Linked DNA regions of Macaca mulatta. The protein of the gene in region 3 interacts with the protein of the main gene of each other region in a pairwise test. Links are inferred from orthologs where the notes say so. Each region holds a gene or a part of one and is shown on either strand. Other genes may lie near its edges.

Region 1 (4,279 bases), on a different chromosome or scaffold from region 3:
TACTGACAGCCAAGCGCTCCCCTCACTCCACCAAAAAAGAGGGGTTGTTGTATGTGTGTGTATACATTTACTCAGTTCAATTCCAGCTTAACACCACTGGGTATTAACTGTGTATATGATACTGTACTACAAGTTGGGACTTCAACATAAATTAAATGATACCCGCCTCTAAGATGAATAAAAGGACATGGGCAAATACACAACTAGCCACAAGTCAGCTGTTGTGTTATAAGCAACTGTGCTTGAAGTAAATTAGCTAACCCCAAGACAGAAAGCAGCATATTCTTAGGATCCACTAATGATGCATTATTAAGACCAAACTCTTCCAAGGACTTGGGAGTAAGCTATGGCTCTGTTCTTTTCCAGCTGGCATTTTTTAACATCCCCTTGATGGCTTACATGTGTTGGAGCTTGCTGCAGCGGTGCTTTGGTCACAACTTCAGGTCTCATCTCCATCAAAGAAAATACTTGAAAATTATGCCTGTTCACCTACTTATGCTACTGCTGTACATCTGGCAGATTTATTCCTGCTACTTTCTTTATGCGACATACGGCACCCTAGCTTTTTTATTCTCCCCTTTGCGGACCTGGTTGACACTGCTGACACCTGTTCTCATTCGTTGTGTGTGGACACTGAACTCCGCCAAGCTTGGAATCTTCATGGTGCAGTTAAAAAGCCACCTGAGCTCCTGAAGGCCATGTCTCACCACTGGCAGCTGGGCAGAAGCCCAGCCTCTGTGTCTGTAGCCTAGGCCTCTACCCCAGTAGCAGGTGGAGGGCCAGTATTGGTGCGTGAGCTTTAGGGAGCTGCTGCTCGTTTGGACTCCTGGATGTTGGAGGGATTACCCACTACTGATACCTGCAGAATGGACTGCAGAAAAGTCTCAAAAATAATGCCTTTATTCCTTCCCTCCTCAAGGAGGCAAAGAGTTGATTTATCTTTGTGAAGAGAAAACCCTTATCTAGGACACCCACAGGGTAGGGGTTGGGTGTGTGTACGGGAGTGTCAGAGGCCCAGTGTGTTTTTTAGGGGTTACCCCATGTAAAGCACCTACCGCTGTGCTTGAAATTCAGCAGCTGTCAAAGGTGCAATTTCAAGGGCAGGGAACCTTTGAGGATCTGGGCCCGACCCTGACCACGGCTGAGATATTAGTTCCCAGGCCTGTTTTCCCGCAGGATTGTGGGCTCTCTGCTTCCTTAGTCGGAAGTGTTTTCAACTAATCAAATAAATGAATGAATGATGAATAAGAAAGACCGTGAGCCTGAGCCTTGCTCGTGTGGCCTCGCTTAAGGGGCGAGAGAAGGCGTGGCTTGTCCTGGCCTCTGGGATGGTTGGTGCTGGACCTCTGGGGACAGGGCGGGGCGGGAGGAGGCGGGGCCAGGCCTGGTCTCTCATAATGGGATGGGTGGTGCTGGACCTCTGGGGGCGGGGCCGGGCCTCTGGGGCGGGGCTGGACGGCTTGTTGCCGGAAACGAGCCATTGACGCTGTGGCCCGGAAGTGGAGCGGCTGTCGCAGTGCGGCTCCGGCAGTGGTGGCGGAGGCCTGTGTTTGCGGCCTTCGGCAAGCGACTGAGATGGCGAGCGCAACTGCACCTGCAGCCGCAGCCCCCACCCTGGCTCCACCTTTGCAGCAGCTCCGGCACTTGGCGGAGGAGCTGCGGTTGCTCCTGCCTCGAGTGCGGGGTGAGCTGACGGAGTTGGAACGCGCGACGGCAGGGGCGGGCTCGGGGAGAGGCCGGGATCGGGGAGAGGCCGGGCTCGGGGTCGCGGAGAGGGCGGGCTGGGGCGGCGGCGGCGGGGAGCCAGGCTCGGGCGAGGGAGGTAGGTCCGCTTACCTTAGCTTTTCCACTCGCCACCATTCGGCCCCCACACGCCACACCCGCAAGTCGGCGAAGCCCAGGAGACCACCGAGGAGTTTAATCGAGAGATGTTCTGGAGAAGACTCAGTGAGTGCGCCTCCTGTCCCGGCTCCCCTTGCCTCAGTTCCTTCAGCGTCCCGACCCCTTTCCCTCTCGCTCTCCCCCAGGGAGGGGACTGCCCTCCCCTGCTGCATCCTTTCTGTGAGATACCTTACCCACCTCAGCACCTGAGAGGGTAAACTAGAATTCTAACATCGACATTCGGGAGGTGTTTTTGAGAAGTCTGGGTCGGTAAGGGAACGCGTATCTTCCAAGTCCGTGCAGCGCTAATGTATTGGCACCTGCCTTCTCTTCGGCCACCCCCCAGATGAGGCAGCTGTGACAGTGTCAAGGGAAGCCACGACTCTGACCACAGTCTTCTCTCAGCTTCCACTGCCGTCTCCACAGGTGGGCTTCACTTTCCTGGAATCCTTGGGCTGCCGAGTTACACCTTAGGAATCCTCTAATTTTCTTTCCACCTTTTACACGCATGCCAGGAGATTTGTTTTCTTCGTCTGTCCAATGAGGTTACCGTTTTTTACTTCACAGGCTTGTTGTGAAGACCGAACTGCCAAGTGCATTTCCTGGCGCGGAGTAGGCAGGTCTTATAAATATTGGTTCAATCTGAAGTTCACCCTGGTGGTTTCTTTTCTGATAATTTTTTAAGCACTTTTTATGTGCTGGGTGTTTTCACATACTTGATGGCCATCTGACAGATGAGCAAGCAGGCTCAGAAGCTCAGGTTAAGATTTAAAAAAAAAGCAGGGGAGCTAGAATTTAAATCAAGGTCTATCTGATGTCTAAGGTACACCTATTCTGTTATACTACATAATACCCTTTTTATATTATTTTTTATATTTAATCAGTAACCTATGCAGATAGTATAAAATTCAAAAGATATCAAAGTTAAGTGTGTTAAGTTTATCCTTCCATCCACTTTCTCATTTTTGTCTCCCCCAGTTCCTTTTGCATTATTCCACATACATTCTGTACATATATACATTCATAAACATTTATCTTGTATGTGTCAGCTTCTTTTTACACAAATGGTAAGATACCATAAACACTGTTCTGGACCTTCCTTTAAATAAATTAACAATAGAGCTTAGAAATCAACTCTTAGCAGCTAGTATAAAGTTGTTCCGTTCTTTGTAATGACTGCATGGTATTCAATAGACTAGATATAAACATAATTTAACCATACTCTATGTGGACATTTAAGCTGTTTCCAACTTAGAATTACTGCAAACAGTGTTGTGATGAATTACGTAATTCTGTGTATGTATGTATATCAGTAGAAAAAATTCCCAGAAGTGGAATTGCTAGAACAAAGAATTTATGCGTTTTAAATATTCCTTTATTATTAAACTAATGAAAGTAAACATGTTGGCTGTGACCACGTATGCTCTATGCTTAGTTTTTTCTAGAGCTGTGTATCCTTAATATGGGAGTAAGATTCCTTTAAAATGGCATATTCATTGCCTTATTTGATTTTCATAGTCAATAGTTTTAATTTCTCAGTCTACATATATAGGTGTTTGGAAAGAATATAGGTATCTTCTGCTGCATGTACCTACAGTGATAAACTCTCTCCTCCTCACATACCTTTGAGATTTTTTTTTTTTTTTTTTTTTTTTGAGGCAAAGTCTCACTCTGTCACTCAGGCTGAAGTGCAGTGGCACAGTCTCGGCTCACCGCATCCTCTGCCTATGCGGTTCGAGCAGTCCTCCTGCCTCAGCCTCTCGAGTAGCTGGAATTACAGGCACCCGCCACCATGCCTGGCTAATTTTTGTATTTTTAGTTGAGACGGGGTTTCACCGTGTTGGGCAGGCTAGTCTCGAACTCCTGACCTCAAGTGATCTGCCTACCTTGACCTCCCAAAGTGTAGGGATTACAGGCATGAGCCACCGTGCCTGGCCTACCTTTGAGATTTGTGATGAGGAAACAAGAGATGAATTGTATGACGGCACTTTAAAAGATTCATGGAAAATAGACTATTTCAAAAAGAATAGTTAATATTATCTTATTTTTCTTATCTGCTAACCCCTTTCTTTCAAATACACTTAGGACTTGCTGCTAAAACTCACTGCAAGTAAGATACCACAAGGAGGCAGCATAGAACTGATTTTCTATACATGCTCAGGACAGTAGTTTTACTCATAGATGAAAAATTAGAATTTGGATTTATTTGAAATATATACAAATATTCAAGTATATACATATATTCAAATAAATACATATATGTATATATGTGTGTATATATACACATACATACACATGAATCATCATTGCCTTCTTGAGATCTCACCACTTTAGTCCTACTAAAAGATGGGTGGGTTTTTTTTTGTTTTTTTAAAATTCCAATCTTCATGGAATGATA
Region 2 (3,500 bases), on a different chromosome or scaffold from region 3:
ATTTCTCTACTTTTGATCTTTGAGGCTGATGACATTTGGATGGGGTTTCTGTGGGAGGGTCTTTTTGTTGATGTTGTTGCTTTTTTAGTTTTGTTTGTTGTTATTTGTTTTTCTTCAAACAGGCCTTTTTTCTTCAGGTCTGCTGGAGTTTGCTGGAGGTCCACTCCAGACCCTTACTGCCTAGGTTCCACCAGTGGAGAGACTGCAGAACAGCAAAGATTGCTGCCTGCTCCTTCCTCTGGAAGCTTCATCTTAGAGGGGGACTGGCCTGATGCCAGCCAGAGCTCTCTTGTGTGAGGTGTCTGTCGGCCCCTGCTGCGATGTCTCTCCCAGTCAGGAGGCACAGGGGTCAGGAACCCACTTGAGGAGGCAGACTGTCCCTTAGCAGAGCTGGTGCGCTGTGCTGGGAGAATCTCCCCTGTCAGGATCAGCCACTCTCTTCAGAGCCGGCAGGCAGGAAAGATTAAATCCGCCAAAGCTGCTACCACAGCCGCCCTTCCCCTCAAGTGCCTTGTTCCAGGGAGATGACTGTCCTGTCTGTAAGCCCCTGAATGGAGCTGCTGGATTTCCTGCAGACAGACCTTGCCTACTGGGGAGGACTCTAGAGAAGCAGTCTGGTCACAGCCGCTCTGGTGAATTCCACCCAGTCCAAAAAAACTCTCAGTCTCGTTAGCACTGTCAGGGGAAAACTGCCAACTAAAGCCATAGTAATGATGGTCACTCCTCCCCCGACCAAACTCGATCATCCCAGGCTGACTCTGGACTGCTGTGCTGGCAGTGAGAATTTCAAGCCAGTGTTTCTTAGCTTGCTGGGTTCCATGGGAGCGTGGGAGTGGGACTGGGACCCGCTGTGTGAGACTGCTTGGCTCCCTGGCTTCAGCCCCCTTTCCAGGAGATTGGACGGTGGTCCTGACTCATTGGAGTTCCAGGCGCCACTGGAGTATGAAAAAAAGAAAATCCTGCAGCTCAGTGCCTGCTCAAACAGCTGCCCAGATGTGTGCTTGAAACCCAGGGCCCTGGTGGTGTAGGCTCATGAGGGAATGTGCTGATCCGTGGATCGCAAATATCCATGGGAAAAGCGTAGTACCTTTGGCAGGTAGCACAGTCTCTCACTGCTTCCCTTTGCTGGGGGAAGGAGGTCCCCTGGCTGCATGCACTTCCCACATGAAGCGACACCCCACCCTGCTTCTGCTCATTCCCTGTGGGTTGCACCCACTGCCAAACCCGTCCCAGTGAGATGAACTGGTACCTCGATTGGAAAAACAGAAATAACCCGCCTTCTGTGTTAGTCTCGCTGGGAGCTGCAGACCTGAGCTGTTTCTATTCGGCCATCTTGGCCCCTCCCCTTCACGTTGCTATTAAGAGGGATTTCATGCCTACTTCGGCAATATGCCGGTGAAAGGAAGTCGTGGAAAAAATTAGCAGATCAAGTGGATATACTTATAGACTTTATATTGAAAACCGTCAACAAATGAAAATACTTAATGCAAAGCTGCCTTTTCATTGGATACTTACCTGCCAGCTCCAGAGTTCGAAGTCCTGATTCTTCATCAGCCACTGTCGTTTCAAAAACCAAAGGCAGGGCAGAGACCAATATTTCTGCACTGTGTTTGGTCTTTATTGTCAAACAGTGCAATAGAATGAGTTGACATAAATAATTCAGAAAATGTGGCAAAGGCAATATTTTACAGTTACACTGTATTGCAGTACAAAGAAAATTAAGCATTAACTTTTAAAAATGCTCTGTGGTAACCACTTTGAACTTAAAATTAAAAGCCTAGAGATATCACCCAAGGAACATAATTAGAATTCTCAGAAAGTAATTGCTTAGAACTGGAAGACAAAAAAGTAAAAGTGTAGTTTTTCATGAAAAAAACCTTACTTCCAGAGAAACATAAAGTACATTCTAACAGGTGATAGTTGATGTGATAACATTAAAGTAAGATGTAACAGATGCTAAACATCTGAATGCAGATGAACATAAATTTTTTTGGTCTAAAATAATTAAACCAGGTCAACCTAGGACATTTAATTTTCATGTGATAATTATATTTGTATTATAGTTAAGCATAGTGAGAGGCCTATCTGGTTTTTGGTCAAACATGTTAGAAGGAAAGACCAACTCTGTAGGGGCTGAGGTAAGTCTTAGAAACTATAAATAGCAAACAACCTACTTAGGGATGACAATTTAAAAATTATAATGCCTCCTGTTTTAAATGACTCCTGTATACTTTGGGAAAAATATCTATGTTTAAAATGACTAGGGATTTTATAGTTTTGTATCTTTTTTCAGTCACGGTTTTTGGAAAAAAAAAGACTCAAGATGTTCTCAGTAGCTGCCGTTTTCAGACATCATGAAAGTCATAGAAACTTCTCCTACCCTCTATAAAAACAAACAAAGAAACCATAAAACTCTGTAAAGGAAAAGCCCACAAAAACATGCTGACTTTAGAAGAATCCATGATTTATAATATTTTTATAAATATCTAAGGAAACAGGAGTCCTTTCCATATATATGGTCCTTGGAGATACTTTCTGTATATATGGTCCTTGGAGAATCCAGTTTTTATGAGAAAGGTGATTTCCAAAATCTCTTACACTTTACAATATCAATTTTGGCCGGAGCATATCTCTCTATTGATCTACCTACCTACATACTGAGCTATCTTGGATAGAGCACTGGACAAAAGGTAGGCACTGTTTACAATCCACTGACAAGAAAACACACGAAGAAGCAAATCCCACAGCACTCTGAAACCTGGAAGAGACGGGTTCTACATGGGTCTGATGGGATTACTGTACTAACCAGCCTCCGAATATCCCGTTCCGACTCCCACTTGATCTTCGAGATGGCTTCTTGGTGGGACTGATGCTCACTCCGAAGGTCCCCAGCCTTGATTTTATCTGCTTGGATCATATTGCTCAGAGCCTCGTCCACCTGCTTCTTGGCCGTTTTCAGGTCCGCAATTTCCTGTAAGAGCTTAAGACGCTCTGCATCAAACAGTTTCCGGGCCTCCTCCCGGGCCTCAATGGTGAGCGCTGTCCTTACTTTGTCACTGCTGCCATCACGGAGAGCACAGAGAGCAGACTTGAGCCTCTGGATCTCTCCATCACGCACCTTCACCGTCCTTGACATCTCCTGCTCGTGCTGCTTGATAAGGTTCTCCCTCACAGCCTGCAGCTCCTTCATCTTCTCCTCATGGAGCTTGGTTTTGAGTTCTGTCACCAGCACCGTGTGCTTGCGCTGCTCCAGCTCACGAATCCTCTTCGCTTCTTGAGTCTTCTCTCTTTCAAGCTTTGATACCTAAAAACAGAGAGGCAAAAGGATGAAGAGAAATGAGCCTCAAAGGACAGGTGTGCTCCTAGGCAGGATTTGCAGCTCAGGCCGCTGTGATCTCTTAATTCCTCATCTCTTTTCCAATTCCAGGCCCTCTGAGAAAAAAGAACTACAGGCCTTGAAGCTGGGAATACAGTGTGTAAAAGGCGGAATTACCTGAGGA
Region 3 (3,500 bases):
TGAGTTATGGGGCATCACCTGACCTGGAGACAGACCAGCCACACGGCAACACAGTCGTGTCTACACAGCAGAGCCACAATAAAGACTGAACACCACGGCCCAGGCAAGCGTCCCTGGCCCAGGCTTAAGTGCAGTGGTGCAATCTTGGCTCGCTGCAACCTCCGCCTCCCGGGCGCAAAGTATCCTCCCATCTCAGCCTCCCAAGTAGCTGGGATGACAGGCAAGCGCTGCCACACCGGGTTTTTTATTCTTGTAGAGACAGGGTGTTTCCAATCCCATTGGAATCAAGACAAAAAAAAGAGTCGGGGTCTCACTATGTTGCCCAGGTTAGTCTTCAACTTCTGGCCTCAAGTGATGCTCCCGCCTCGGCCTCGCAAAGTGCTGGGATTACGGGTGTGAGGCTGGCGGCCCTGTGTGTGCTGTCAGGCATCGATGCCGGGAGGGTGATGTGTCCTGACTGCGGGGAGAGGACACATCGCCCTCCGAGGTTGGTGACCTCTCCTGCTCCTCCTGTGTGTCTCTCCCTGTGGCTAATGTTAATCTGTTATACAGTCCCCAGCACAGCAGCCCTCAGGGGTTCCGTGTCTTTCCAGTGACGGTGGCCTTCGGAGCAGCTGCTAACCCGACGCTGCTTGTCGTGAGCTAGGCCTGCCTTGTGAGGGCCTCGTCTACATGGAGCCCTCGCCCCAACTCGTGAAGCAGGCGCTGTGCTCCCATTTTCGAGGGGAGGAGACTGAGGCACAGGGCACTCACGCCTCTTGCCCACAGTCACCCGACAGGTGTGCTGCAGAACCCTGGCTCTCACATCCCATGCTACCCTGTCCCCGGCTCCTGAGTGCTACTGTCAGCTGGGCCAGATGGTGGGGGTGGCTGCTCAGGCCGTCTGGGCAGGCGGAAGGCTCCAGGGGAGCCGGGGGAGGGGCTGTGACGCGGTGGGCTCACCGGGGGCAGGGACTGCACAATGTCACTGTGGTAGATGTAGCCGGTGTGGGGCAGCACTGAGGTAGACGAGAAGCCCGACAGCGTCTTGCGCTGGGCCCCGAGCAGCATGATGTTGCAGGCGGGCATCTTGGAGAGGTTGGTCAGGCCGCCGGCCACGCCTGCGGTGGGAGGAGGACAGGGGCGGTCAGAAGAAAGCGGGGGAGGCGGGGGTGCGCACATCTGCCTGGGGGCTCGACATGTGCCAAGCACCTTTACGTGAGGTTCTGGCTGGATTCCTCGGTGGCCCTGCCAGGCGGGCGACCTGGCCCATTCCGCGAGGGGCAGACGCAAAGGAGGCTCAGAGAGGGAGGGCAGCTGGCCTGGGGTGCAGGGAGGAGGCCCCCAACAGGCAACTGACCACCACGTTTGTGCTAAGCCACACTACCCCCATTCCAGGGATGTCTGTGTTTTGGAACCATTTTCACCAAACCAGGAGCCCCCTGACAACAGGGCCTGGGTGTGGTCATCTCTGGCTTTCCGGCACAGGGGAGGGAGGAGGAGCTGTGGGTGAGTGTTTCTCCCAGACGAGGCTTTGCTGTGTGCCAGGCTGGCTGACCTCTGTCACGTCCAGGGAGACGGGGTGTTGAGGCCCAGGTGCCAAAGTCCCCATTCTACAGAAAAGGGAAGCAGCTTCCCCCAGATCACAGTGTCAGCAGAGTCCCGCTCCATGGGACCCAGCCCAGGGCCTCACCCATGATCTTGGCGGCCGTGGACGCCCCAATAATGATGGAGAGGTTGGGCGCGATGAAGGACATCCGGGACTCCACGTACTCGTAGATGCGGTGCTTGGAGGCGTTCAGCTCCAGCGCCATGTCACAGGCCTCCTCCAGCCGCTCCAGCTCCTCCTCCGACAGCTGCTGCCTGCAGGGGCGGGTGGGCCCAGCCTCCTGGGTCTCCCGCCTGCTTGGTGCCCAGCACCCACCCTCTCAGTTGTGTGTGTGTGCACGTGTGTGTGTGTGTGTGTGTGTGCGTGTGTGTGTATGCCCACCTGCGTGGGTAGCTTCAGCCTAATCCCCAGTCCCACTGGCCCGGGCCCGGCGCCTCCCTCCAGCGGACATACCCCTGGGTGGTGGAGGCGGTGACGCTGACGACCATGATGGTGGCGTTGGTGAGGATCTGCTGCAGGTTCTCATTGTTCTTGCACTTGTCCAGGCTGTTGCCCAGCTCCTGGGCGCGAGCAGAGAAGACAGGGGAGGCTCAGGAACTCAGGAAGGCTTGAGAGCCTCTCTGGCCCTGCACCTACTCGGGTCTCTTCTCGGGGACACTGGGAAAGTCAGGGTCTCTACACTGGGGGCCTCTCCTGCCTCCACCGCCTGAAGCATCCACACCGTCTGCTCTGCTTTGGAAACGGAACCTGGGCAGAGCAGCGTCTGGGAAGACCGCGGCCTCACAAGCCTCTGCCTGTGTCGAGTCGGAGCACAAACCCGCGGCCTCGCTTCCCTGCGGGGGCTTCCCCCACCACCATCCTGATCCTTTCCCGGACACACGTGGGGACCGCCTCCTCTCCCTGCCCTCACCTGCATCCGCCCCTCTTTTCCGAAACCCTTCCTTGGCTTTCTCATAAGACCCAAAGGCTCAGTGTGATCCGACCTCTTCCGCGTCCCCTCCTTCCCCGCCTCACTTCCTCCCCGCTTGTTCCCTCTCCGGCTCTCCATACTTAACACATCTCTCTCCCCCAAATCTCCGCGTGCCTGCCCTGTGACGACCTTCGGATGTCAACTCCAATGCCACCGGCTCCGACCACAGCGGAAGCAGCGCGGGTCAGGCCAGCGGGGAAGCCCTCTCGGGAGACTGGGGTACGAGGGGAGCCCTGAGAAAGTCCCATCCAGGCTCCGTCCCTCTCACCCTGGGCAGAGCAGGCCACTGAGCCTCCGTCCACTCCTCTCCTTCACCTCCAGACCCCGAGGCCTCTGGGGGCGGGTCCAAGAGTGAGCCCTGCCTGCACCTTCACACCAGCAGAAGCACCGCTCCTCCTCTGCTCTCACCTTGACCGTGCGGATGTAATCCAGTGCATTGGGGACCAAGGACTCCAGTTCAGGGAATCTCTTCGAGTACTTATCCCGGATGAACTTATGGATGATGTCTAGGGTAAACGGGACAGGCGGGTGTCAGGTGAGACGGGAGGCAGACTCTGCTGGTTGGCCCTAACACCCACGTCCCCTTCTTCCTTTAGTAACTGAAGCCCTGGCTTGTAGCCTGGCATACGGGCACCAGCATACAGGCTCCATTTTTCAGCCGCCCTTACCGCTAGGTGTGACCAGGGGAATTAGTTCTGGTCTGTAAAATGTGAGCTGCAGTGACATGTTCTTAAAAAAAAGAAGTGCCTTGCTGGTGGGAATGCAGAGGCGACGGCTGGACGTGGGGCAGTCCCCTCGCACCACGAGGCAGGTGGCCGACCAACAAGATGGAAAGGGCTGGGGCCTTACGGGCAGCCAAGCGGCCACGCCGTCCCCGAGTGCTCGCTCAGACTCATACGCGAGGGAGCCACGCCGTCCCCGAGTGCTCGCTCAGACTCATAC
Region 4 (4,221 bases), on a different chromosome or scaffold from region 3:
CTAACTTACACACCAAACCCGAGGTCTACGCAAGTTATTACCCATGTGTCCTCCCCGTGAGGGAGGTCCCCTGGTTCCTCCACTTCCTCCTCTTCCACCTCTAAGACCTCTTGGAGGGCCTCTACTTCTTGGAGGTGGAGGCGGTCCACGTCTACCACTTTCAAATGATGGTTTGGTGGCTTGTTCCACTTTGATGGCTTTTCCATCTAATGACTAAAAAAAAAAGATATGGTTAAATCAAGATTTAAACAATTTGCACATCTACTATGCACTAAGACACTAACGGGTCCTTCAAAATACAGTTATGGATAAGTGTTGCTCACTAATTAGTCTAAGAAAAAACACTGCAAATATAGCCAGTTAAATGGGGCTTTTCCACTTAAAATTCTTAATACTTGAAAATGATACTGATGGTCTGGATTGAAACATAACGTGAATCCACTGCATTACTGTATGGTAAAATTTAAAACAAGGCCAAGTAGGTATCAGTTTGTTATCAAAACTAAAAGCCAAGTTATCAAAATATGGTTTATGGATCTCAAGACAAAATGTATCATGTTGGCTAGGTGCAGTGGCTCACACCTGTAATCCCAGTACTTTGGGAGGCTGAGGCGGGTGGATCACCTGAAATCAGGAGTTTGTGACCAGCCTGGCCAAAATGGTGAAACCCCGTCTCTACCAAAAATACAAAATTATCCGGGTGTGGTCGCGCGTGCCTGTAATCCCAGCTACTCGGGAGGCTGAGGCAGAATAATCATTTAGAAGTCGGGAGGCAGAGGTTGCAGTGGGCAGATCACACCATTGCACTCCAGCCTAGGTGATAGAGGGAGACTACCAAAAAAAAAAAAAAGGTATCACGTAATGTCATAATTATTCTGAACCGAGAGAATGTTAACAGCGTAAGATATAACTCACTACCAGATTTGGTTCTGCAATTACAGAATACTCTTTGGAACGGGATCACAAACAGGATGAGTCCCAGACAGGTATATACTGAAAAACGACGAAAACTCAAAAGCTGCCCTAGACCAGACTTGGGCAACTATGTTATGTTATGCACTGTTAACAGGTTATCATCCATTGGGTAGACAATCTCACCTTTCCATTCATGTCTCTGGCTGCATCCTTAGCGTCTGCTGGGCTTTCAAAGGTGACAAAAGCAAATCCTCTTGATTTGTTGGTTTCCCGGTCTTTCATCAAGAGTACTAAAAAGTAGTTTTCAGAAAAATAAAGCGTTACCCTAGTTCAAATGAAATAACCAAAGTAAATGTGTAAACAGAAAGCTCAGAACTTCTTAGAGGACAAAATACATTATCATGTCAGACGATCAATGCAATCAAATTCATCATAGCTTATATTTTAATTATCATAGCCCAGCCTGTACTGCCAGACAACTCACCTTCCACTATTCGTCCATATTTGCCAAATACTGCTTCAAGAGCTTTCTCATTTGTTTCCGTATTAAGCCCACCAATGAAGAGCTTTCCTGGGCGATCTGCTTCAACCATTTTTTTTTTTTTGCCGGTGAGTCTGTTGAAAAGGAATAGTATTACCTCACTGCAAAAAGTTCCTCAAGTTTATTGGACACTTTTACTTTGGCACATTTTTCATATTTTCCACTAAAACCATTGTTTCTTAATAACTAAAGAAAGGGATAACAAACTAAGCCTCAGTCACAGTAGGAAGCAATTTGAATTAAGTAGATTAGTAACAATGCAATTTACATAAAACTGGTTAAAAGGGCCAGTTTAACTCTCACCACTACCCTTGACCACCCATAGCTGTTCTTAAGCAACAGCTGCTTAACATCTGAAAAACCAACTTCTAGTTCTAGTTCTGTTGCCTTTGAAAGATTCAATTACTCATCACGCCCTTCCTAACGATGGGGTTTTAAAAGACTCCCAAGGTCACAGGCCAGGCACAGGACCTTAACACCAAGCCCTCTTCCAACGTCCTCTTTTCCTATTTAGAATTCCCTACTAAATCCAAGGAGAAATGTGAAGTTTGAGCCAAGTTATGCCGCCTCTTCTCCACCGGCCCCCGCCCTACCTAAAATTCTACTATCCAGCCAAAAAGATAAAAACAAATTGTCAACCTCGTTTCCTATTAAGTAACGGAACGCGGACGCACACACTAACACTCGACACTCCGTGACTGCAGCGGAACCTAATTAAAACTCGTCATTAAAAACCGCGTGTAAAAGACAAAATGGCGACACTTGGATTCAACCCAGAACCACTGACACTGGTCAGGGGACTAACTTTTACCACCAACATTGGCTGGGAACATTCAGAGGGCTTCTTCTCCGGGGCCGCCAATGAATACGTAGCCCGCAGCCCGCATGGAAGTCCACATGCCCATCATTAGCGCCAGCGCCATACCAATGCAGGTATCGCGGTGGTGCGGTCGCTCCTCGCCCCGCTCCAGCCTACAAAGCCCCGACCTCCGCTACCAACTCCCGCAGGCGGCAGCCAAACTTTCTCGAGAGGCATACAACCAAACGGGCCCCCTCATTTGTTTTCCCTCGACCCCTTCTGCTTTATTTAAATAGGTCGGAACCTTTGGGTTCTTAAAATGGCGCCCGCCACCCCCATCTCCAGGGAGATATAATCCCCAGTCCTAACACGGCGAGAGTGTCACGAAAAACGGACTGAGGAAAGGAGACACGTACCGGAGGGGTGACAATGGGTTCAAGCTCCAACGAGCTCGCCGACACGGGCCTCCGAGCAGCTCAGCACCAGTGGCGGCTGCTCCGTCGGAGGACCAAACCGCGAAGCCGCTAGCACTACTGCGCAACGAGGGCGAACAAAGGAGACAGCAAACTTTATACTGCCCGGGAACGAGGCTGAAGGACCCGGATGGAAACGGAGCTTAGAATTTGAAACGCAAAGGGAGGGGGGAAGTAGTTCCCAGTCTCCCCATTGGCTGCCTCCTCTGTCACTCACTCTTCTCTCCTCCCTTTTTCCCGGGCCCTCCGTGTTGGGTCGGCGGACCTTTCTAACCGTTTTCCCTACCCCCACCCGTTCTTTACAAACGCGCTTTTTTTGCTTTGCTCTAAAATGGTGCACAGGCTTCATTTAATACAGAACTGAAATTATTGAGCGCCTAGTGGGCCAGGCACGATGCAAAACTTTACTTTTACTTTTCCATTAACTCTTCTAATTGTCAAAATGTGATAAGGGAAGATACTCCTACTATACCAATTTTGCAGGAACGGAAAACAAAGAAGTTTTGGCAATATAATATATTTTCAAAAATTGTCTTTAACAAGTGTTTTTAGTGGGTGTGGGCATTTCTAATAAATACATGTAAATTTCAGATGAGTAAAAAACATACAAAACAGCATGCAGATAGTTAATTCACATAGAACAATTACTGAGCACCTTGTAAATAGTGGGCTCTAGGCTAGGCCAGGAAGATGAAACCCCAGGAAAAGACAAGAGTCAGGCCTGTGGGTAAGGGTGCCGGATTTAAGAAATGAAAATACGAGGCCGGGCGCGGTGGCTCACGCCTGTAATCCCAGCACTTTGTGAGGCCGAGGCCGGTGGATCACGAGGTCAGGAGATGGAGACCATCCTGGCTAACACGGTGAAACCCCATCTCTTTTTAAAAATAAAGAAATTGGCCGGGCGCGATGGCTCAAGCCTGTAATCCCAGCACTTTGGGAGGCCGAGACGGGCGGATCACGAGGTCAGGAGATCGAGACCATCCTGGCTAACACGATGAAACCCCGTGTCTACTTAAAAAAACTACAAAAAACTAGCCGGGCGAGGTGGCGGGTGCCTGTTCCCAGCTACTCGGGAGGCTGAGGCAGGAGAATGGCGGGAACCCGGGAGGCGGAGCTTGCAGTGAGCTGAGATCCGGCCACTGCACTCCAGCCCGGGCAAGAGAGCGAGACTCCGTCTCAAAAAAAATAAAATAAAAATAAAAATACAAGAAATTACCCAGGCGTGGTGGCACGCGCCTGTAGTCGCAGCTACTCAGGTGGCTGAGGCAGGAGAATCGCTTGAAACTGGGAGGCGGAGGTTACAGTGAGCCAAGACTGCGCCACCGCACTCCAGCCTGGGCAGGCGACAGAGCGAGACTCCGTCTCAAAGGAAAAAGAAAATGCGGGACGCTAATTTATTCTACGAAGCTGTTAAAAATAAATAAATAAAAATATGGAACGCGGCCGGGCGCGGTGGCTCACGCCTGTAATCCCAGCACTTTGGGAGGTCGAAG
Region 5 (4,273 bases), on a different chromosome or scaffold from region 3:
GACAGTGTCATGTTAGCAGGTAATTAAGCTTAAGAAAACACATACTGAAGAATTTACAGAAGCCTTAAAAGAAAATATTAATTTTCTAAAGTAGTATATCTGAAGAATACATAATTCAGTAAGTTAATAACTTAAAAAAGTAACCTAAGAACCCTTAAATGCCATTCTCCCTGTCACTGCAGAATTGCAATTTCAGGCCTCATGGTTACGATGAACCAACCTAACAATATTCTGGGTTTATCATTCTTGCTATAGATTAAGAATTCTCCAGGGCAAAAGTCCTAATCCTGTATAACTACCTATATGTTGCAATAAAAACCTCCGAACTTCAATGAAAAATAAAAACTTCCAACTACTGACTTCCCAGAGTTTCCAGGCAGCCCTTTAAAATGCGTTTTTAATGAAACCTTCGTGTCTGGTAGTCAGAAAAGACTCAATAAACTCCCTCTCTCTATACTTACCTTCAAAATTGCCTTTTTACTGAGTTTTGCTCTTCTTGAAATGTGGGAGTTTGAAAGTGAAATACTTTTTATAGTAACTAGTTCAGCGACATCTAAAGGAGCCTTTGGGGTTAACATTCACATACAGGCCAGCACAAGTAGCCAGGCATACAAGGATAATGTGATTATGGTGTTACATTATCCTTAACCATACCACTGCAGAAATGGATTTTTCTCTAAAAGTAATCATTTTCTCTTTCTCCTCTCTCAACCATGTGGTCAAGAAGAGAGGAGTTACAGGTTTAAAAGTGACCTAATATTAAAAAGCTGTCACAAAATCGTAACACTCCTCTTAACCCTCAGTTTCCGAAAGGTAAGATGGGCTAATACCATCTTCCCAAAAGTAATTACACCATTTAGGCACTACACAAAAGCAAAAATTGGCCTATAAGAGTAACACATCACAGGACAAGGAAAGAGAACAGGTTCCCAGGGAGGTCCTGTAGTCGAATTTTGCTCCATTACTGATTATGAGACCCTGAGAAAATGACTCTTTATGCTCAGCTTCTTCTTTGGGGAAATGGAGAAAATAAAGGAGATCATGAATATAAAACCATCTGTAAACTGGCAAGTATTAGACAAACGTGAAAACACTAGTGGCAGCAGCATAAACAAAATTTCTATGTTAACATGAAAAACTTGAGTGTGAACAAAGTAATTTAGAGCATTGGCCTGGAGACGGCAAATATGGAGGAGGCAGCCTCTTAATTTGCTCTAAATCTCCCCGGGTCCTCTTTTTCCCACAGCTCCAGAAGGGAGAACTACATACAGGTAAAGGGGAGTGTCTAGTTTTCCCAGAGATCACCCAACATCTGAGCTCCTGATCTCAGAAGGAACTTCCTTAAAGCATGACTCAGGATTATCTCCAAGGTAAAGCTGAATCCAAATACATACATGTACTCCATTTTAAATGGACCCCAAATATCAAAATCCAAACGCACCGAAGGATTCATAGGGTTCACCCTAAGATTTCTGTAAGTAGTAATGCTTTGGTTAAAATATGATTTATGAAAATTCAAATCACAAAACTTTGGGATGGCATCCGTGGCTGTCCTGACCACTCCACTCCATCGTTCATATCTAAAGCATAGCACAAAATCAAGTATCTTTATGGACTGATGGTTTTCGGCCAAAGAGAAAATTCTCTCAACCTACCAACCCTGCTGACAAAACCATTTTCCTTTTCCTAGCTACATATTTATTCATTTGAAAACATCTCAATCTTGGGCTCAGGACTGTGCTACATGCTGTCCCCAAGCTTCTCTCCTATCCCAGGATGATTCAAGTAATAGGGCATTTGTGACAGCGAAAAAAAGAACATGCCAGGGGGATATGGAAGAGATGCTTAGGCTACCCCAAATATTCTTAGCCGAGCCGGGTCATCCCAGGTCACTTTGCCACCCAAACCTCTTCTATCACAAAGTCCTAAAATTGGATCCATCAACTTGTTCTAGAACTGGTATACTTGAACAGAAACATGATAACTTCAGCAGAATATCCAAACAGGATCTCTGTCACGTTTCATTTCCCCGTCCCACCCCCAGACACAGCCTCCACCACTGACAGCCCAGCAGGTGCTGCCAGGGCTCCCCATTACCACAGCCATTTATCACCTCTGACATCAAGCATTAAAAACGCCACCACACACACAAATCTAGGCATAAAGAACTCAGCTGCAATCTGAGTGTCTCTTCAGGGTAGAAAATCCCAAAGCCAGGGTTTTGAGTCCTGGCTCACGCTTTAAACTAGGGCAATTGGTGGCTAATAAGCGCAATCTCCCAAAAACAATCATTTTCGAGCACACCCCGAATGTCTCCGTCCGGGCCGTGCTTCGCTGCTGCCCCACCAGCGAAACCCCCACAAACCCGACCCGGCCAGGGGTAGGGCGGGCGATGCTCCGGGCCCGGACGAGGGGCGCTCCGCGGAGCTCCGAACCCGGGCCCGCAGAAACCGCGCATCCCCGCGGGCGGACCCCAGAACCCCCGCCCAGGCCCCGCCGCGGGCACCTCCGCCGCCGGCTCGTGCCAGCCCCGGGACGCGCGGTCCCCTCAACGCGGCCCCGCCGCCACCGCCCGGTTCCAGGAGCCCCCGCCCAGATAATCCTCTGCCCCGCTCCCCTGGCCGCTCCGCGCAGACGTCTCCCGAAACCCGGCCCTCCCAAGCCCCGGCCCTCCCAAGCCCCGGCCCCGCAAGCCCCAAGCCAGCCCCACTCACTGCGCGGCGGCGGCGGCGGCGGCGGCAGCGGCGGCGGCCGGGCCGGGAGATGCCCGCGGCCGGAGAGCGCGAGCGCGGGGACGAGCGAGCCCGCGCCCGGCGGCGGCGGCGGCGGCGGCGGCAGAAGGGACGACTGAGCCCGCGCCCGGAGTTGCGGCTCCAGCTGCCCGGCGCGGGCGGCGCCTTCCCAGCAGAGCCGTAGCGCCACAAGCGCGGGCGCCCCCTAACGGCAGCGCGGGCGGGAAGCCAGAGAGCCGGGCGGCCTTAGGAGCGAGCGCAGCCGGAGCCGCGCGGTCAAGACCGCAAGACCGCAGCCCCGAAGCCCCGCCCTGAAGCCCCAGTCCCGCCCCTTAGGCTCAGCTCAGAAGCCCCGAAGCCCCGAAACCCCGCCCCTGCGTCCCGCCTCCGTCCGCAGCCTGGGGTCCGCCCAGCCCCAGGCCCACTGCGTCCTCAGAGCTGGTGTTTCCACAGCTGTTTCTCCTTAGTCATTTCATGAACTTGTATGGGACCCCCACTATATCTCAGGCCTGGGGGTTTAGGAGATACAGCGGCTACCAAGACGCAAGCGGGTCCTAATGAAAGGAGAAGACAGACAAGAGTCAAGGAAACAGCTAATAGACAAAATAATGACAGGTTATGATCATAAGCGTTGGGAGAGGCGTGATTAGAGGACTTAGATGGAGAAGGGAAGGGAGCCCCTGCTTCAAACGCAGTAGCCAAGGAAGACCTGGACCCCGGACCTGCGGTCGGAGCCTCTCCTGCCTGCCCTGCACTGGGGAGACAACCCTGCGATGAGGCCTGTGAAGAAGCCCCCGCGGCCACCCCTCCGGCCTGGTGGGCAGGACAGCAAAGGACAGCTGGGCCCAGAGCCTCAGCAACACGGGCAGCCAGGTGGAGAGAAGGGCAGAGCCACCTTCAGCAGACGAAACGACCCGTGCAAAGGCTCTGGGGCCTGGAGGAGCTCGGCCCTAGATGAGACTGGCGCCGGTATTGTCCCCACTTCACCAGGAAGGAAGCCAAGACTGCAGAGGATGGGCAGCTCCTAACGCCTCAGGGCTAATTGGCCTCCATCCGTCCACTCGTTCCAAGTCCCATTCGCTTCCTACTAGCCAGGCCTCTGTCCCCTTCCGTTGGGACCGGTTACCTGATGCTGGGTTTAACCTTCTCCACCAGAATAACCACTGGCCTTAGAAACTTACTTGGGTTTCACGTCTGCATGTGTGTGAGCTAGCTCTGGGGTTGAAATTATATCAGCATGATCATCACAGTTGTATCTGATACTTGATTCTTCTCCAAAGCTCAAATTGATAGGTTAAATAAATGACATATGCTTCATCAACATACCCAAGTGCTACATGATCAAATTCACAAAGACTAGGTGAGAATACAGGGAAATGTGTGTGAAAATGATCAAAATGATCAGTACACAAACTAGTATACATGATATCCTGATTTTATTTTTAAAAACATATATACAGACAAAAATGTTGAAGGATCATCGTGTTCAAGATAATAGTATGGGGATGTTAATGGCATTGCTTCTTAACATTCTTCTGAAT
Region 6 (4,293 bases), on a different chromosome or scaffold from region 3:
ACTAATAATACAAAAATTAGCTGGAGGTGGTTGCGTGTGCCAATAATTCCAGCTACTCGGGAGGCTGAGGCATGAGAATCACTTGAATCCGGAAGGTGGAGGTTGCAGCGAGCCAAGATTATGTCACTGCACTCCAGCCTGGGCAACAGAGTGAAACAGTGTCTCAAATAAATAAATAAATAAATAAATAAATAAATAAATAGAATAAAATAAAATAAAATAAAATAAAATAAATAAAAAAGTGAAAGAGCAGCACTCTAGCCTAAAGAGGAAACCAGACCTCTCGAGATGATGTCACAGCTAACAGTCTCAACAAGGCCAGGAGACAAGTATAGTTATCACGGTATCTCCTCCACTCCCTGCCCATCTTCCCCCTCTTCCCTAAAGCAAGGTGAAGCAGCCCCCATGCCAGGCAGTACCGTTTGCCTCCAAAGCTGGGCCTCTCATCATCCGAGTCTCGCTCTGCCCACACCCCGTAGGTGGCTTCTTCCTTGGTCTGCCAGTGGCGCTGTCGGTTGGGGTTGAACTCATTCTGGAGATCCCAGTCAGTGATCTCAAAGTTCTCCCGCTCGTCATCATCATCATCAATGCGGCCTTCCCCATCCCGGTACAAGTGGGACAATGACATGGCCAGTCGCTAAAGAAAGAGACAAAAAGGGCACAGGCCATAAGTTCTGGGGGCAGCAGTAGGAGGATTCCTTGTGAGTCTCTATTCCTTGCTGCCTTCAGAACTTTCTCTGAATTCAAAGTCCATTAAAATTGGCATTACTATTCAATAAAGAAAATATTAAAAACCTACTTTTAGAAAACAATCAGTACTAAAACAGGTGAACAAAATACTAGTCCCAACCATCTATGATTCTTTAAAAGTATATATTTCCTTGTCCTAGCCAATATCATAAATATCACACATATTCACACATACACAAACCACACAAAAATAACTAAATAGGTTATTTTGTACACTATTGCCTTAGAAAATGAGTGGCTATCTTCTTAGATCCCAGATTCTTTTTTCTATTACTGAGGAAAGAATTATATCTGGATCCTTGGTGGTCCTAGGAGTGATTTTTTTTAGAACATGCTTTTTGAAATACATTACTTGATGAAACAACATTTTCAGTTTTCCTCACATGAATTTCTTCTGATGAGCTGAAAGACTGTAGTAATTATGAACACTATTTTAATAGTCAGATGGCCAGGGATTGATATAGAGAATCTACCTCATGGTAGCTGGGTGAGCAAATTCAGCTGTATTTCTTAAATTGGGATAAACTACTATACCAACCTTAGAGAATGCTTATAAGGCAAATTCAATGAGTTCAAAATAAGTGCTCAAGAAACGACAGCTTCTACTTTAGTCCCATGATTAGGTTAATCATTGTATTAGGGTTTTCTAGAGGAAGAGAACTAATGGAATAGACATATATATATAAAGGGGAGCTTATTAAGTATTAACTCACACTATCACAAGGTGTCACAATAGGCTGTCTGCAGGCTGAGGAGCAAGGAGAGCCAGTCAATTTCCAAAGCTGAAGAACTTGGAGTCCAATGTTGGAAGGCAGGAAGCATCCAGCATGGAGAAAGATGTAGGTTGGGAGGCTAGACCAGTCTCTCCTTTCACATTTTTCTGCCTGCTTATATTCCTGCCGTGCTGGCAGCTGATTAGATTATGCCCACACAGATTGAGGGTGGGTCTGCCTTTCCCCACCCACGGACTCAAATGTTAATCTCCTTTGGCAACACCCACATAGTCACACCCAGGATCAATACTTCCTATCCTTTAATCCAATCAAGTTAACACTCAGTATTAACCATCACAATCATCATTACTATTATGGCACTAGGGTGTAAACTTAGCAAAGTGATTCTAAAATCTGGCACGCTAAAATCGAAGCCTGAGTTCAAATTCAACTCTATCAGATACTCAGTGTATGAGAATTAAATGCACGCGAAGCGCCAAGCATGGTGCACTACACAATAATACATTCAACAGGTGAGAGCAATTGTGATTCTTGTCTTGCTGAAAGCGGCCTTAAGGCACACGGAGTTCACTACTTCCACAGGCAGTGTCCAACTCTGGTCACCTCTGGCAAAACGTTATCTCTGCCCTCTTCTACTCACTGGTGCACTGTTTGGATGCAGCTGGTCCCAACCTCTTCCAGGAGTGTTTAAGACAGAAGGGTTTTCGGAAAAGGTGGGGACTCTCAAATACATAAGGTTAAATAATACCACTGCCTCCGTGGGCATAGTAGGTGGTAATAAGCCCTGAGTGAGTAGTCACAAGTTATGAAGCCCTCATCAGTAGATGCTAGGTACATGCTGGTCGCTTGAGACCGATTATCAACTGTCCGCATCAAGACACTTCTGCAAAGTAGGTACCGTTAGTTTTCATGTTTCAGATAAGAAAAAGGAGATTCAGAGAAGTTAGTCACTTACCTTAGGTTCCACTGCTCATAGGGCTCAAACTCAGGAGAGCTAGAAGTCAGGCCTCGGGCTTGTCTCTCTCTTGCTGTCTAGGTTTGGCGAAGGAGGCTCAGGTTCTTAACTGAACCCAAGCCCTAAATTCCAGTAGACCCCAAGCAGCACCGCCCCTCTCCGTGCCTCGGCAGAGCTGTCTACGAAATGGATTCCCCTCCCCACACCCCAACGGCTTGGACCGCAGCTCGCCTTCCCCGAACCTTCGCCCCTACTCCCACTGGCGCTGAGTCCCCTCGTAGCCAGCCTCGCTCACCTCTCCGAGGGTCCAGCGTACCAAAACTCAGCTTCACAATCCGCGCGAGAAGACCGCCGCTCCTACGCCAGAACCCGGATGCAGCGTGGCTGGCGCGCCGGAAATGACGTTAGTCGACAGCGGATGTCCTACTGGCTGCCGCGGCAGCGTGGAACGCTACGGCGGGTATGGCTGTAGAGCGGCCGGCTGGGATCTTAGAGAGGAGGGGTGGATTTGCAAGGTCTAGAATGGCTGGGGAGTGGTTTTCCCGTGGAGTCGGCCTCGGTGCTGCGCCTGCTTTGTAGTCCGACGCTCAGCCTGTGATGACTGATGTGGAATCCGCTGAGCCACCTTGGCCTAAGGAGACTTTGCCACTGAGAGTGTAAATCTGTAAAATAAGAGATGTAGGATTAGCCCATAGGGTAGTTGTGGTAAATACTGTGAGACAATAAGGGGCCTGGGACACAACATTCAAATGGGAATAATGAAGGTCAAGACTGTGACTCCTGTGTCTCTGACGCTGTCGTGGGCACAGGGCAGTGGCCTTTATGAAGGAGTTTAAGAGGGAATGAAGGAATGAATGGGCAAACTCTAGACTTCCCAAGTATTCTCTCCAGGAGATGTTTCCATTCTCTTCGTTTCCAGCAGGCTGGTAAATTCATTCATGTATTCACTGATCGAATTAAAATATAGTGAGTGCCCCTCACCTGTGCTGCTAGGCCAATGTGATACAATGAGCAGAACAGTCATGGGCCCTCCCTGGGAAGCCCTCACTAGCCCAGGGACTCCGTGTAGACATTTAAGTGTCCACAGGCTCTGGAGTTCCAACCTTGACTCTGCAATTTAGCAGCTGTGGACCTTGGGCAAGTCATTACGTCTAAGCCTGTTTTCTCTTCGGCAAAATGGTTAAGGATTCAATAAGATAAAACTGTAGGCAATGAAAACCGTACCTGGTAACAGTAGGTGCTCAAAAAGTGTTAGCTGTTAATTTTTGCTTAATTTTTCTCTCTCTGCTCTATGTGATGAAAAGATCCAAGAGGCAATTCTTGGAATGTAAAAAGAGCACGGGACTTGGAGTCATATACTTAAGTCTACCGTCAAGTAGTTGTTAAGAATTAAAACAGGCCGGGCGCGGTGGCTCAAGCCTGTAATCCCAGCACTTTGGGAGGCCGAGACGGGCGGATCACAAGGTCAGGAGATCGAGACCATCCTGGCTAACACGGTGAAACCTCGTCTCTATTAAGAAATACAAAAAACTAGCCGGGCGAGGTGGCGGGCGCCTGTAGTCCCAGCTACTCGGGTGGCTGAGGCAGGAGAATGGCGTGAACCTGGGAGGCGGGGCTTGCAGTGAGCTGAGATCCGGCCACTGCACTCCAGCCTGGGTGACAGAGCGAGACTCCGTCTCAAAAAAAAAAAAAAAAAAAAAAAAAAAAAAGAATTAAAACAACGATTTTTGTGTACCCAGTTAAATGTGGGCTGCTTAGGAATGGTGTCTGTGTCTTAATGATCTCTGTATTCCTAGTGACATGTAGAATCGTTGTGCCTGACACATAGTATATACTCAGGAAAGAAACAGAAAA
Region 7 (3,500 bases), on a different chromosome or scaffold from region 3:
ATGCCAGCTGAAGTGATATGCTGGAATTCCAGGCAGCGGCTGAAAAGGCTCAGTCTCATGGGGGCATTCTGTGATCATGTGACCGTGGGACCTGAGGGGTGGGAGGTGGGTGCTGAAGCTTTAACTGAATTTCAGCTCAGCCAAACTTCAGAGAGGTAAAGAAACTGAACCTTTATGGATTGCCAGGGTTATGATGTCTCCGCCTTCTCCACACCCCTTCCTCTTCTTGATTTTTTATCCAGGGGCCAGGGGGTTGGTGGGGAATGGGATGTATTTACAGCTGCAATGAAAGCAGCCACCATGGGTCAGAGATGTCCCTCCAGGGACACTCCTCTAAGGTCCTGTCTATCCCAATTCACTATGTGGCTCCCGATTTTCTTGAAAAGCTGTGACACTGAAGAGACAGAACAGTATTGGAGGGCAGGAAAACTGGGTTCAAACCAAGAAAGGACACTGGCATCTTACCACTTTGCCAGGCAGCACAGGGATGTGGGTGCTTGGCAGGGCCGCTCTCCAGAACACGGTGAGGAGGGAAGCCGACTCCTCTAGGGCATGGTGCAGGGCAGTGGTGCTGCTCCGAAGCTCATGTATGCCTTTGCTGCCCATCACCTGGGGAAAGGTAACACCACAGAAGCGGAGAGATTACTTTCTTCCCCCTGCATGGGCTCCCGCTTCCTTTGTGAGTGAGGCACAGAACATGGGCCTGCTTGAACTGTGAAGCCCTCGCACAACCATTTGCAGCTCTCAGAACTAAGGTGCTGGTCCCTTTACCAGGTATGCCTCCCTCCACCTGCAGAACCCACAAGGCTTTCAAAACTCACCCCCCTTGCTGTGTCCTCTATGAACCTGTTACCTTCCTTGCCTGAGATAAATGACCACGTTTGCATTGGCGGCCTCACAGCACAGAGGATGGCTTCTCATGCTGTGTCTGTAGCCCCTTACTGTGCTGATCTACTTGTGTGTGTGTCTTGCCCTCTAGTGTGGGGTTCCGTGGAGGCAGGGCTGTCCCTACGCATCCATGGGTCTCCAGCAGCTCAGACAGCACAGCCCTGGTGCCTGGTCTCTCTCACTGGCAAGGCGCTCTGAGAAGCTTTGCTGACTGCCTTCCCTCCCTCTATGCAGTCTGCACAAGGAAATGCCATGGCTGCCAGGCTTCTCACCCCTTCCACATGTGGGGGCCATACACCTGCAAATCCTTCAGTTTCTGTCCACCCCATTGTGTCAACTCTGCCCACAGATGGTCATGTGCCTGCATAAAGCAATGGTAACAAAAGCCAAAATTGACAAATGGGATCTAATTAAACTCAAGAGCTTCTGCACAGCAAAGGAAACCACCATCAGAGTGAACAGGCAAACTACAGAATGGGAGAAAATCTTTGCAATCTACTCATCTGACAAAGGGCTAATATCCAGAACCTACAAAGAACTCAAATTTACAAGAAAAAAACAAACAACCCCATCAAAAAGTGGGCAAAGGATATGAACAGACACTTCTCAAAAGAAGACATTTATGCAGCCAACAGACACGTGAAAAAATGCCCATCATCACTGGCCATCAGAGAAATGCAAATCAAAACCACAATGAGATACCATCTCACAGCAGTTAGAATGGCGATCATTAAAAAGTCAGGAAACAACAGGTGCTGGAGAGGATGTGGAGAAATAGGAACACTTTTACACTGTTGGTGGGACTGTAAAATAGTTCAACCATTATGGAAAACAGTGTGGCGATTCCTCAAGGATCTAGAACTAGAAATACCATTTGACCCAGCCATCCCATTACTGGGGATATACCCAAAGGATTATAAATCATGCTGCTATAAACACACATGCACATGTATGTTTATTGTGGCACTATTCACAATAGCAAAGACTTGGAATCAACCCAAATGTCCATCAGTGACAGACTGGATTAAGAAAATGTGGCACATGGCCGGGCGCGGTGGCTCAAGCCTGTAATCCCAGCACTTTGGGAGGCCGAGACGGGCGGATCACTAGGTCAGGAGATTGAGACCATCCTGGCTAACACGGCGAAACCCCGTCTCTACTAAAAACACAAAAAATTAGCCGGGCGAGGTGGCGGCGCCTGTGGTCCCAGCTACTCGGGAGGCTGAGGCAGGAGAATGGCGGGAACCCGGGAGGCGGAGCTTGCAGTGAGCTGAGATCTGGCCACTGCACTCCAGCCTGGGTGACAGAGCGAGACTCCGTCTCAAAAAAAAAAAAAAAAAAAAAAAAAGAAAATGTGGCACATATACACCATGGAACACTATGCAGCCATAAAAAAGGATGAGTTCGTGTCCTTTGAAGAGACATGGATGCAGCTGGAAACCATCATTCTCAGCAAACTATCTCAAGAACAGAAAACCAAACACTGCATGTTCTCACTCATAGGTGGGAACTTGACAATGAGATCACTTGGACACAGGAAGGGGAACATCACACACCAGGTCCTATTGTGGGGAGGGGGCAGAGGAGAGGGATAGCATTAGGAGATATACCTAATGTAAATGACGAGTTAATGGGTGCAGCACACCAACATGGCACATGTATACATATGTAACAAACCTGCACATTGTGCATATGTACCCTAGAACCTAAGGTATAATAATAAAAACAAGAAAAGAGGAAAAAAAAAAAAGCTCCCAAAGGCTGCTAGGCAATGCCACATGTTTCTGTGGGGCTGAGGGGAAATATCCAGTCAGCTACATCTGGAACAGAGCAGAACTGACAGTGAAAATAGGAGACAGAGAAGACAGGGCCTGGCTGCTGTACATGGAAGAGGAAGCCTCAGCTGTTGAGAGATGCAAAGCACGAAAAACAAAAACAAAAACAAAAATGGTGGGAGAAGGAGTTACCATCAAAGGAAGAAAGGGCACAAGGAAACAGTGCATCTAAAGCTACAGGTGTGATTACCTCTGTGCCTTGGGCTTCAAGGCCAGGGAAGCTGCACGCTGACCTCACAAGAGACACTATCTTTTTGGCCAGCAGCTTGCCCTCCACAATCTGCTGTCTCAGGGCACTGTAGTCATCAATGTGGCCAATGACATGGCGGCCATGCTTATTGGCAAAGGAGCCATCAGTAGCATCACCCTCCAGCTTGGGAGGGGTCTTCATTACTGGAGAAGTATCCAAACCCAAGCCTGGAAAAGAAAATAACAACACAACAGAATCCTCTGTTATTCATAATGATATCCTAGGTTTGCTCCAACTCAGAAGAGGTAGGAGACAAGAAAAGGAAGAGGCTGGGAACAAGAAAGGAAGCCTTGGAATGTACAAGGGTGGGGCAAAGACCATAGAGATCTTCTGGCTTCTATATTTTTGTAATTTTTCTTACATCATCTCTTAATGATAAATTTGCCAGGGGACAATTTTTTCTTATTGGCCAATGAAATAGGACAAATCATAATAAATAATAAGTTTCTGGGTAGAGAAGACACAGACAAGGAAATCAAGCTGGATACAGAGAACATTTTCAAGAATGGAGAGATTATGGTGCAATG

What was found.
Region 1: the proteins of PRPF31 (region 3) and CCNDBP1 interact in binary tests that used the Homo sapiens proteins (3 or more experiments, as listed by UniProt). The two-hybrid records come from large-scale screens. The link is inferred for Macaca mulatta from reciprocal best matches to the Homo sapiens genes PRPF31 and CCNDBP1.
Region 2: the proteins of PRPF31 (region 3) and JAKMIP2 interact in binary tests that used the Homo sapiens proteins (3 or more experiments, as listed by UniProt). The two-hybrid records come from large-scale screens. The link is inferred for Macaca mulatta from reciprocal best matches to the Homo sapiens genes PRPF31 and JAKMIP2.
Region 4: the proteins of PRPF31 (region 3) and RBMX interact in binary tests that used the Homo sapiens proteins (3 or more experiments, as listed by UniProt). The link is inferred for Macaca mulatta from reciprocal best matches to the Homo sapiens genes PRPF31 and RBMX.
Region 5: the proteins of PRPF31 (region 3) and KCTD6 interact in binary tests that used the Homo sapiens proteins (3 or more experiments, as listed by UniProt). The two-hybrid records come from large-scale screens. The link is inferred for Macaca mulatta from reciprocal best matches to the Homo sapiens genes PRPF31 and KCTD6.
Region 6: the proteins of PRPF31 (region 3) and TFIP11 interact in binary tests that used the Homo sapiens proteins (3 or more experiments, as listed by UniProt). The link is inferred for Macaca mulatta from reciprocal best matches to the Homo sapiens genes PRPF31 and TFIP11.
Region 7: the proteins of PRPF31 (region 3) and myomegalin interact in binary tests that used the Homo sapiens proteins (3 or more experiments, as listed by UniProt). The two-hybrid records come from large-scale screens. The link is inferred for Macaca mulatta from reciprocal best matches to the Homo sapiens genes PRPF31 and PDE4DIP.

What each region holds. Positions count from the first base shown.
Region 1 is NC_133412.1:20,576,697-20,580,975, forward strand, and holds the start of CCNDBP1 (cyclin-D1-binding protein 1), read left to right. Parts: upstream 1-1,479; 5' UTR 1,480-1,575; coding exon 1,576-1,684; intron 1,685-1,887; coding exon 1,888-1,947; intron 1,948-2,227; coding exon 2,228-2,307; intron 2,308-4,279. Other genes in the region: TMEM62 (transmembrane protein 62), read left to right, coding at 367-693. UniProt on the Homo sapiens protein: May negatively regulate cell cycle progression. May act at least in part via inhibition of the cyclin-D1/CDK4 complex, thereby preventing phosphorylation of RB1 and blocking E2F-dependent transcription.
Region 2 is NC_133411.1:156,547,899-156,551,398, forward strand, and holds part of JAKMIP2 (janus kinase and microtubule-interacting protein 2), read right to left. Parts: intron 3,305-3,500; coding exon 2,807-3,304; intron 1-2,806.
Region 3 is NC_133424.1:66,351,068-66,354,567, reverse strand, and holds part of PRPF31 (U4/U6 small nuclear ribonucleoprotein Prp31), read right to left. Parts: intron 3,070-3,500; exon of another isoform or gene 3,065-3,069; coding exon 2,967-3,064; exon of another isoform or gene 2,880-2,966; intron 2,778-2,879; exon of another isoform or gene 2,149-2,777; coding exon 2,042-2,148; exon of another isoform or gene 1,843-2,041; coding exon 1,673-1,842; exon of another isoform or gene 1,378-1,672; intron 1,101-1,377; coding exon 943-1,100; intron 780-942; exon of another isoform or gene 327-779; intron 1-326. UniProt on the Homo sapiens protein: Involved in pre-mRNA splicing as component of the spliceosome. Required for the assembly of the U4/U5/U6 tri-snRNP complex, one of the building blocks of the spliceosome.
Region 4 is NC_133426.1:143,221,444-143,225,664, forward strand, and holds the start of RBMX (RNA-binding motif protein, X chromosome), read right to left. Parts: upstream 2,801-4,221; 5' UTR 2,589-2,800; intron 1,643-2,588; exon of another isoform or gene 1,620-1,642; 5' UTR 1,509-1,619; coding exon 1,400-1,508; intron 1,353-1,399; exon of another isoform or gene 1,281-1,352; intron 1,206-1,280; coding exon 1,099-1,205; intron 214-1,098; coding exon 42-213; intron 1-41.
Region 5 is NC_133407.1:122,078,723-122,082,995, reverse strand, and holds the start of KCTD6 (BTB/POZ domain-containing protein KCTD6), read right to left. Parts: upstream 2,801-4,273; 5' UTR 2,715-2,800; intron 2,529-2,714; exon of another isoform or gene 462-2,528; intron 1-461. UniProt on the Homo sapiens protein: Probable substrate-specific adapter of a BCR (BTB-CUL3-RBX1) E3 ubiquitin-protein ligase complex mediating the ubiquitination and subsequent proteasomal degradation of target proteins.
Region 6 is NC_133415.1:25,044,238-25,048,530, reverse strand, and holds the start of TFIP11 (tuftelin-interacting protein 11), read right to left. Parts: upstream 2,801-4,293; 5' UTR 2,735-2,800; intron 2,517-2,734; 5' UTR 2,440-2,516; intron 1,541-2,439; exon of another isoform or gene 1,464-1,540; intron 1,059-1,463; 5' UTR 973-1,058; intron 638-972; 5' UTR 629-637; coding exon 420-628; intron 1-419. UniProt on the Homo sapiens protein: Involved in pre-mRNA splicing, specifically in spliceosome disassembly during late-stage splicing events. Intron turnover seems to proceed through reactions in two lariat-intron associated complexes termed Intron Large (IL) and Intron Small (IS).
Region 7 is NC_133406.1:119,875,563-119,879,062, forward strand, and holds part of myomegalin, read right to left. Parts: intron 3,141-3,500; coding exon 2,914-3,140; intron 610-2,913; coding exon 466-609; intron 1-465. UniProt on the Homo sapiens protein: Functions as an anchor sequestering components of the cAMP-dependent pathway to Golgi and/or centrosomes.